Linked DNA regions of Drosophila melanogaster. The protein of the gene in region 1 interacts with the protein of each later gene in a pairwise test. Each region holds a gene or a part of one and is shown on either strand. Other genes may lie near its edges.

What was found.
Region 2: the proteins of HLH3B (region 1) and byn interact in a two-hybrid assay, tested with the Drosophila melanogaster proteins (one large-scale study listed by BioGRID).

The regions. Positions count from the first base shown.
Region 1 is NC_004354.4:2,679,646-2,683,913, forward strand, and holds HLH3B (helix loop helix protein 3B), read right to left. Parts: upstream 2,079-4,268; 5' UTR 2,014-2,078; coding exon 1,689-2,013; intron 1,592-1,688; coding exon 786-1,591; 3' UTR 554-785; downstream 1-553. Other genes in the region: CG2652 (uncharacterized protein), read right to left, coding at 2,472-3,179.
Region 2 is NT_037436.4:11,925,751-11,930,837, reverse strand, and holds the start of byn (brachyenteron), read right to left. Parts: upstream 3,146-5,087; 5' UTR 2,815-3,145; intron 1-2,814. UniProt on the Drosophila melanogaster protein: Required for the specification of the hindgut and anal pads.

The DNA.
Region 1 (4,268 bases):
AAAACCGATAATTTTCAACTTACCGTGCAAAAATAAAAAATATTTGTGGCTTTCTTGATTCTCAACACCAGGCCACCATAATCAGTAGAAGGTGTCAACTTCTGGAATTCCAGTTCGTCAAAAATCGAATATTTACAAACTCGATTTTCTCCAAAACATGTTTAATAGTCATAGCTAACTATTACTATCACTATTTAAACGATCCTGGGAAAAAAATTTTTTTTTCACTTTTCAGATTTTCGGTAAGGGGTACCATCATTAAAATTTGCGAAAAATTGCAAAATTTTCGAAATTCCAATTTTCAATACAGGTCGATAGGGAATTTTGTTACGAATTCAACGAGGTATGACATTCCACTTTTTGACAACTATTTTTATTGCTATAAAAAAAAAATTAGTATAATTACACAATTTGTGGCAAATTTATTAGATTTTTGGATTTTAGATGTTTTTTTTTTAGATTGGCTCACCATCCTAATTTTATGATTTATGTTACTTGCTTACTGATTTCGTTCGATTGGAAATTCAATTCACAGTTGCAAGTTTTTTTTTTTAATGATTTGTCGAATTTGCTTTTTATTTTAAACCGTAAATTATTTAGAATGAAATTTGAATAAACAATACAAACTATAACTATTGATTCTGCATCTGCAATTTGCACTATTAACTTTGTAATTTATTGGTAGATAAAAAAAATAGCAAATCGGGGATAGTATACTATCTCCGAATGCTTTGGCAAAGCCGGTATCCACTTTTTCCAAGATTCCATCCATTAGATTCCTTATTCTACGTCCTGCGCCGTTTGCCCAGACTGAGATCGGTGGCTCCGCCTTCCGGCTTGAGGCGTCGCTTGCTACTCCGTCCGCTGGCCGATTTTACACCGGATACGGTGCCACTGATTCGCTGAGTCTCGGCCATGGCCAGCGGAGCAGTGGTCAACGGCAGGGGTGGGCCGTTTAACGGATGCCCAAGTGGGAGTGTAGACTCCAGGAGAAGCTCGCTTTTGACAACGGCTCCCGGGGCAATCATCAGCAGGTCGTTGCCAGCGTTTCCGTTGGCATGTCCGTGCCCAATGCCATTCCTGTGCATCTGCCCGTCGGTGCGTTCACACTTGATGTGCCGTACAGGCGGAACATCTGGATTCTCCAGATTCTCCCCGTCCGCCGCATGGCCATTGGCCATCCTATTGTCGTTGTTGTTCGGCTCCATTTGAGCCCTGATCGGATGCGAGGGCGCCTGCCGCTGCTGCCACTCGAGGATGCCCGTCAGCAGCTTAATGTACTTAATGGCCGAGCGCAGGATCTCGTTCTTCGATAGCTTCTTGTCCGGCGGATGTGTGGGCACCAGCTTGCGCAGCTCTGCAAAGGCACCGGACACGTTCTGCTGGCGCCATCGCTCCCTTGTGTTGGTGAACACCTTGCGCACACCGCCGGTGGCTCCTACGCCGCTGCCGCCGCCACTGGATGCATTGCCGCCGGAGCCATTGCCTCCACCACCGCCGCTACCGCCGACTGAGCTTCCGGAGCTGGCCGGCGCGGTCAGCAGTCCGTTGCGGGAGTGACTGCGCGGCGAACTGGACAGTGAGCGATTCGCTGCGGGCGGAACAAAGGAATCGAGCGTTATGTATATAAGAAATTGGGAACTACGGGATGTTCTAGGAGCTCTAAAGTTTTAAAGACTAAGCCTCACCATCCGCCTGGTTGCCATTCAGAACGATGTAATCGCGAAGATCCTCCTCGTCCTCCTCCGTGTCGTTGAGCGAGAAGTCGGAAAGCTCCGCGTCACCGTCTCCATCGGATATGGACTCCGTCTTGGGCTGCAGGTGGGGCGTGGCATGTCGGAGCAGGGCGGGCGGATGCCTGCCAGCGGCAGTGTCCCGCATGCTACCATTACCGTTCAGGTGCCCGGATCGCGGTGACTCGTTGGTCTGGCTGTGGCCGGAGGATCCGCTCGAGGCGGTGCTCCGTTCGTCCGCGTTATCCGCTCCGTTCGAGCTGCTCGGTAGCCAGGCCATCTCTCCGATTCGCCGGAGCAGAGGATACGTGCGTTCTGTTGCGTTCGAAGCGCAGCAGCAAAGTGAGCAACTGACTGGGTAACTGGCACTGTGTGTCTGGGAACCAACCCCCTATGGACAGAGGGCGGGGCCAATGGCGCAGCATCCACCCCCGGACGAGGCATACACACAAAATGGGCGTACTCGTACATACATATGTATGTACGTTTGGGTTACCAATGTTGGGCTGACTTCTTACCGAGCCTGTTACTTTTTGATTAGATTAGATACCAAAACATAAAACGAGTATGAGCAAACTATAATATATATTAGCATAAGCAGCTGTCTTAGAAGTAAATGAAATTCATAATTTATTTAGTAATTTAAACGTATCCAATGCCAATCCAGTAACTGCACATGCCAGGACAACAAACATTCTCAGTTGTTCCTTTCATAGAGCCCAATGTATCTATACACGACTACTGATGACCGATGGGATGGGGTATGCCCACACTTAGACGCTTCTTGGGCTGCTTTGCCGGCGGCTGCGAGGGTCGCGCCACATCGCCCACCTGCTCCCGATCCCGGTCCTGTTCCTTTCGCTCACCCGGTGTCTCCGGCATGGCGGACTCCATTGCAAACTGGGGCGATGTCCTGTCCCCGGGCGCACCATTTGCACTGGGCACAAGCACGGGCGTTAGATTCTGTCTCATCATGGGCGAGGGATTGACGAATATCATCTTGTCGAGCATCTCCTCGCAAATACCGGCGTGACCCTCGCGCACCACGCGCGGCCGGAAGATGTACGAGGTGGCCGACATGCGGGCATCCATATACTGCACCTGCACCTCCACGGGAAAGTCGCTGCCCAGTACCTCGCCAATCTCAAACGGAGCGCTGTCCGCCACGTGCAGTCGCAGCGGCAGGCGCGGCGACATCTTGAAGGTGACGCGCCGCACGAACCGCGACAGGTCGCCGCCATCGCGACCTGGGCGCAGGTAGACGCCCCACGTCGGCTCCAGCATGTAGGGCATGTCCGGATCGCACTGTTCCATGCGGCAGCCGATCACGATGTCCCGACTGATCACACAGCGCCCGGTGACAGTGATCGGCGGAGTGCGGTTGCAGCTCACCCGCTGGCAGTCATCGACCACATTCTGATGGCGCAGGAGATTTGTGTAGCTCATCACGATTCAAAAAAAAAAAAAAAAAAAAAACTAATTTCAATTTATGTTTAACTAAAAATTTTTCTACGAAAATTTGAAGGCAACTTTAACTTGTTTGCTTGGTGTGATGCTTTTTCAAATCGAGAGCGACAGCAAAAACAGAAGCCCACTAGATATGCATTTAACTAAAGTAATAACTAATGTACATATAATTTTTTATAGATTTTATCATACTACCTAATAACCGTTGCATGTCTGCTACCTTGTTTTCCCCCTCGAAGCAGATGTTAATCCCAACTTGGGATTAAGGTTCTTCAAAAGTTTCGCGAAAGGCGTTGAAATTTCAACGCCTTCGTCGTCCTACAACGGGCCATCTCCGATTTTTTCACGCCTTAAACTGTGATTTTTTCTAATTAATTAACGCAGAATTTGTTGGTGGACTAGGGAAGAGTTAGCGGACTTGGGAGTACGCAATGCGCAGACTCCGAAGGGCGGAGTTAAGTGCTAAGTCAGAGGAATTTGGGGTTGGTGCGGCCCGGGCATTTACTTGGCCGGGAATATTCCGGGCACAGCGACGTTACTTCAGTTCAGCGGGGCAGCTGAATTCTAATGTGGACATTTTGAGGATAGCGAGACCATTCAGTGCAATCTGTAGGTGCTCCAAGGCCAAGGACTTCGTTTAAAGGTCTGCTTCAAGTCCACCTGATCTGAGCCCCGTATCTGTTATATTCCTTCATAAGTTGCCAACCGAGCAGCTCTAAACGAGACTTCCCAAGGAAACCTAGTTTGGAGAATATGACACTATATTTCTGATATTAATTTAAACTGTTCATTACATTGATATAATTTTTTTACAGACATCTATCTCATCAGAAAGTAGTCAAGTGCTGAAGTAATTTCACTTGAGCTTGTATCTCCGTTTGTGCTTACAGTTCAACGCTGGGACGGAATTGTGGTGCCAGTAATGCCACCTGATGTGCTACGTCCATCCTCTAATCGCAATCCATATTCATGGGTCCACAGGTCCTCGGACCTACGCCACTTGGACGTTGAAAGGGTGGGCCTTGGGAACTCGGCTCTAATCCCGCTCACAGTCCGACCGACACTCAC
Region 2 (5,087 bases), on another chromosome or scaffold:
TATGTGTTATCTGAAGGCTATTAAATTATAAAGTAAGGAGAGCGAATCAATCAAAGCGAGCTGTTTTCGAAAACATGTGTTGTGGAGTTGACAACGAATCAAATCAGAACTCTTAAGATACATTTACATTGGATAAATTTCAATTTTAACTTCTAAAAGTGGATACCAACTTTAATATAACATACTTGTCAACTAACCAGGGACATCTTATTGCCCGAATGTCCGTACCATTTCAACCAGAAGCTGGGCCCAATTAAAAGTTTCAATTCGAATTCAATCGGCCGAGTTTAAAAGTTCAACCACTTTGGGCCAGCATTCGAAAGTTATATTCAGTTTATGAATGTTCAAAGGTTTCCGATTTTCCCAGCTCGTGCTCGCTCCGCATTATCATAATTTTCACGCGATACTTGGCGGGTTTTTCTCATGTGCCCAATAGGCGACATCGACGACATCATAAAAATTCACTCTTCATGACGCTGGTTCCCCCACATGGCTCCCCGCCACATGGCTCGTCTCATGGCCGTGTTTGTGTTCCACATCGATCCGCACCACCGCGCCACTCCAGCACCACGATTTTAAGACGCGGTGTCCCAGCTCCGGCTCCATCACTAAGCTTAATGAAAAGCTGTTTTTGTGTGTTGTCTCCTCAGCGGAGGAAGCGTGTGTGACTGTTTGCCCATGTGTATATATGTGGCATATACTTTGACTTTTGATGGCAGCCATGACGGGTTTTCGGGCTTGGGGCTTGGGGTTTGCATTGGACTCTTTCCCCATCTCGGGCCAGCCGCTTTGTTGTTGGCTCTGTTGATTTTTGAATCATTTCGTGACTTTGATATTTACTCAGACGCTTTGAGGGGGTTTTTTCCTCCTATTTTTTTCGTATGAAATGTGCGCGCTATTCCAAATCGAAGCGAACCTTTGGTAATATGGCGCTTACGTACTCAATGTACAGGTACGCACTAATGGTCGCCGATGGAAACACATTCGGCGAATCTCATAGATACATTTCGATGGGTTCAGCTTTAACTTTTAAAGGAAGGAGTGCCAGCGCACTCTAATGGTTCTTAAACGATTATCACTAAAGTCACTAAAAATCATGTTAAATTTGCAGCATTTTATTATAATAGTTCATTATATTATAATAATTATAATAATATTATTATAGTTCAACTTTAACTGATTCCGCGCTGCATTTGTAGTTAAACATGAAATTCAATAAATGCTAAAATATTAAATGTATTAAAATTAGTTAGAGATGATGTTGCTAACCTATCGATTTTCTATAAAATATAAAAACCAGTGTATCTATTATATAATTCAAAGCAATAACCACAATTGCCCTCCTCTCAGGTAATCGAACACGTGCAATAATAAATGCTCTGTTTGTTTATTCGCTACTCCGATCGACTTATCCCACTCCCATTCGCACTTTGTTGAAAAGGACAATATTTCGCACCTGCTCAGGATGCTGGCGGGTGGCATGGATGACGACAAGTCACTGGTAGCCAGTTGGAGGCGATTAAACCGAATCTGCTAAATTTCACACACCACTTCGCGTGAAAATAAACCGAATTTAAATTTAGATACTGCGTGGGCGAACTGAAATGGAAATAGCCGTGAATTGGCTCGATTCTAATGCAATCAATAATGTTTCCGGAGGACAATGTCAGAGGTCGCTCCATTGAGAACTTGGTGACCTTTCAGGATATTTTCGATATATTTTTTTTGGCGATTTGTGGGCGTTTCTTTAAACACCGATTGTCACACTTTTGTTTTCAGCACTCCACGGCACAGTGGTAGGCGCACTTTTATGAGCGGCGTACTAAAATTTTGTACAAACTGTAATTAATTAGTAAGCATTTGTCAAGTACTAAACGATCTGCGTGGGCGTTGCGGAGGGGTGAGGGGGGTTCCTTCGGGTCTGTTTATGGGCCTCTTTGATTTGCATTTAATAGGATAATTTTCACATGCGTCGTAATTGGACGCCTCAGATCGATCCAACTTGATGTTTTTTTTTTGGCAATACCCAGACGCATGTCTGAAAATTCTTATGTCCCCACTAATTTGCGTGTGAACGTCGGCCACGCCCACGGCCACTCCCGCCCCTTTCTCGGCTGCTGTTTTATGTCATTAGAGGTATTATTAGGATCGTTAATGGGGGATTTTGTCACTTGCCCGTTGGATTTCGGGCGAGCCGCCAACACTTCGTCTTGACTTTTTTCTTCTTTTTTTGGCCAAGTGTCAAAATATGTCTGTTTGGTGATTTTGTTTGGCTTCGGCATTTGATTTTCACACGTTCGTTTAAATAGGTTTGCCAATTTGCTATTTGATTACGTTTATGGTCATATGTCACACGGAGGAATAAACACTCGCACTTTATGGCACCCAAACTTTTGAATCGGAGAAGTGACTTTATGATTTTTTTGGGAGCCATATGTTTTGGGGTCAGTGTTTGTCTGCCACAATTCTACTTCATTTTTTACATTTTCTTCTCAAAAAGTTAATTATTTCCAAATATATATTTAAAAGTACAACATATCCTTTGCCGACGCATAAGTCTACTTCCATCGTAAAAATGTCTGATTTTTCTTTTTTGAATAGTAAAAAGATTAGTCAACGTTTCGCAATGTTTAATAGCTGTTATTAGCATTTAAAACGAAGTGTTTAACACTTCTGTTCGAAAATAAAGATGTTTTAAAAAGGAATACAAGCGTTTCTTAAAATAAACTTCGAATTTTCGTTTAAGTTTCTTTCTTATGAAGTTTAAACTTAAAATTTTGAAACCAAAATTGAGATAAAGTGCAACTAACTTACCAATTTGGTAACCTGCTTCACGCCGAAACTCGGCGCTCTCGATATAATCCAGTGGTAAACTCCTTATGAAGATGGTTTAGGTTTAGATTTAGATTTTAGTTGAATACGCAACACTGCCAAATCACGCACTTTTATAGCACTAATTCCCTAGAGGGTTCACTTTATCAAGGATCACTATCGTATGAGTTCAGATTCAAGTGGGAAGATACAGCCGCGTGAAATTTGTTTTCAAAGATTTCAAGATATTTGATTCGAGTCGAGATTCGAGATTGGAGTTTAGCGCTGCCGCCGATCGTGTGTTTGCGTTGCCACCGTTCCCGAGCTAATGATCAACGATCGGTGCTAATTTTTTCAACCATCACAAGCCGCGCTTTCGGTTCCTCTATTTCTCATCTCTCGTCTTTGGCCAGCCGATCGACATCGTGGCATCGTTGTTGTTTTCTTGTTTTGGCCCATGGATGATATGATGGCCGGCTAGCGTGCTAGCTCTCTACCGGTCCTATAGCCATCTCGTTTTGGCCCGATCGATGATCGGCTGGCTGACGGATGGTTAGGCCACACCCTCTAACAGGTAAGACAGCGGCGGTATTTCGCCTCTCGCTCGCTCACCCGGCTGGTCAATTTGCGGCCATCGCCATCGAGAACCCGGCAACAGGTAGAGAGCCCCCATAACATCGAACTCTCAGGTGGGTCGGATCGTTCAGGGCGAGCACACCTTTAACTCTCAGAAGGCCCAGAATTGGAGTCCTAGGCGGGATTTATATACCCCTGCTGTAACCCCCGTGGCTAATCGTTCAATTTGCATGCGCCAAAAATTAAGTGTAACGTGTTTCAGTTGCTCACATTTGTTGCACAGAGAGAAAAAGTCTCTTATCTTTTGTGATCTTTATTATAGACGCTCTGAATTTGTCAAAGGAATCCTTGTCTCAGCCGTAGATTGGAAGTTGAAGGAATCTTTTATCTTTATATCCCATCCGTTGTTATTGAAACTTCTTTCATTAAATGCCTACTGTACATAATCATGGTTTTTGAGTTACTACTTGGAGTCCATATGTAAATAGTTTAATAAGTGGTTGATATCAAATAGATGCAATACAAAAGATCAAGATATTCACTAACAAAAACCCTTAAACTAGGATAATCTGAGATTAAAATGTAAATCTGAGTTGTTTTTTTCGGTGTGTCTGAGGTCTGGATTCACAGTACGTTGTTCGTTGTTCGCCGCAGAGTGGCTTTGATTTGTTTAGACGCTCGTTTTGAGTTTTGTTTGTCCAACCAATTAAAACTTTGTATTTTTTCCACGGGGTCTGTTTGCACTCCAAAACGGGTTTGCCGATCCAACACTTTTTTTTTTTGGTAAAATTTTCAGCTGAATTTCGAGTTGTAAACATTTGACTCTGGTGCGTCAATTTGTGTATGTGGCCAAAATACAAGTTACCCCGGGGCGGAGTTGCTGGATTTTTGGGGCGGTGCGTGACCACACATGACCAACTGAAATTTTGCATCCACATTGGAGAGAATCACACTTTAAAATGCTATATCACTTGTATTTTTTACTTTACATTTCGAACATTATATTTTATTATCGAAGATAAAATAGAAAAAATGTACCTAAAAATATCTTTTAATTATCCGTGTATTATTGCATTGATTTCATTGCTAATTTATATAGTAAATACAGTAAAATGCGATTCAATGAAAGTTTGCTGGGTTGTTTCAAAGTTGTATATTGCGAGACTCGAAACACCAACTATTTATAGCTTTTCCGTGATTTTTTTGAGATCACGCGCCTCTTGCATCGGCAGTCTGTGTTTTTTCGTGGATCGCAGCTCGCTTTTTAGTCGGTTCCAAGTCATCGCCGCGTGTCAATGGACCGACTTTATCTAGGGGGCTGGGAACGGTCAAAAAGTTGGGCATTCTATGGCGCTGAAAGACAAACAGCTCGCGGCCAACGATGGCCATTAGTTAAGGGTCTGGTACAACAGTACAACCGTCGGTAGTAAATGAGAAAAATCAACAGACTAGGGAACTCAATAAAATAGTCGGAGATGGAAATGAAAATGGAGGGGACTCCGGAGGGCTGAGCGTTGGCTAATGGAGAAATGTATCTGGCGGATAGACAAGTGAATCGAATGGATCGCCATGTAGTTGTCGCAACCGTGACGGATGTCTGGGCTACCTATTCCAGTTCCCTTTGGTCATTCATTAAAGATGCCGCACGTTTTCATTAAGAATGCGCCGCGCAGAGGAGTACGCGGAAATGAGGGCGAACC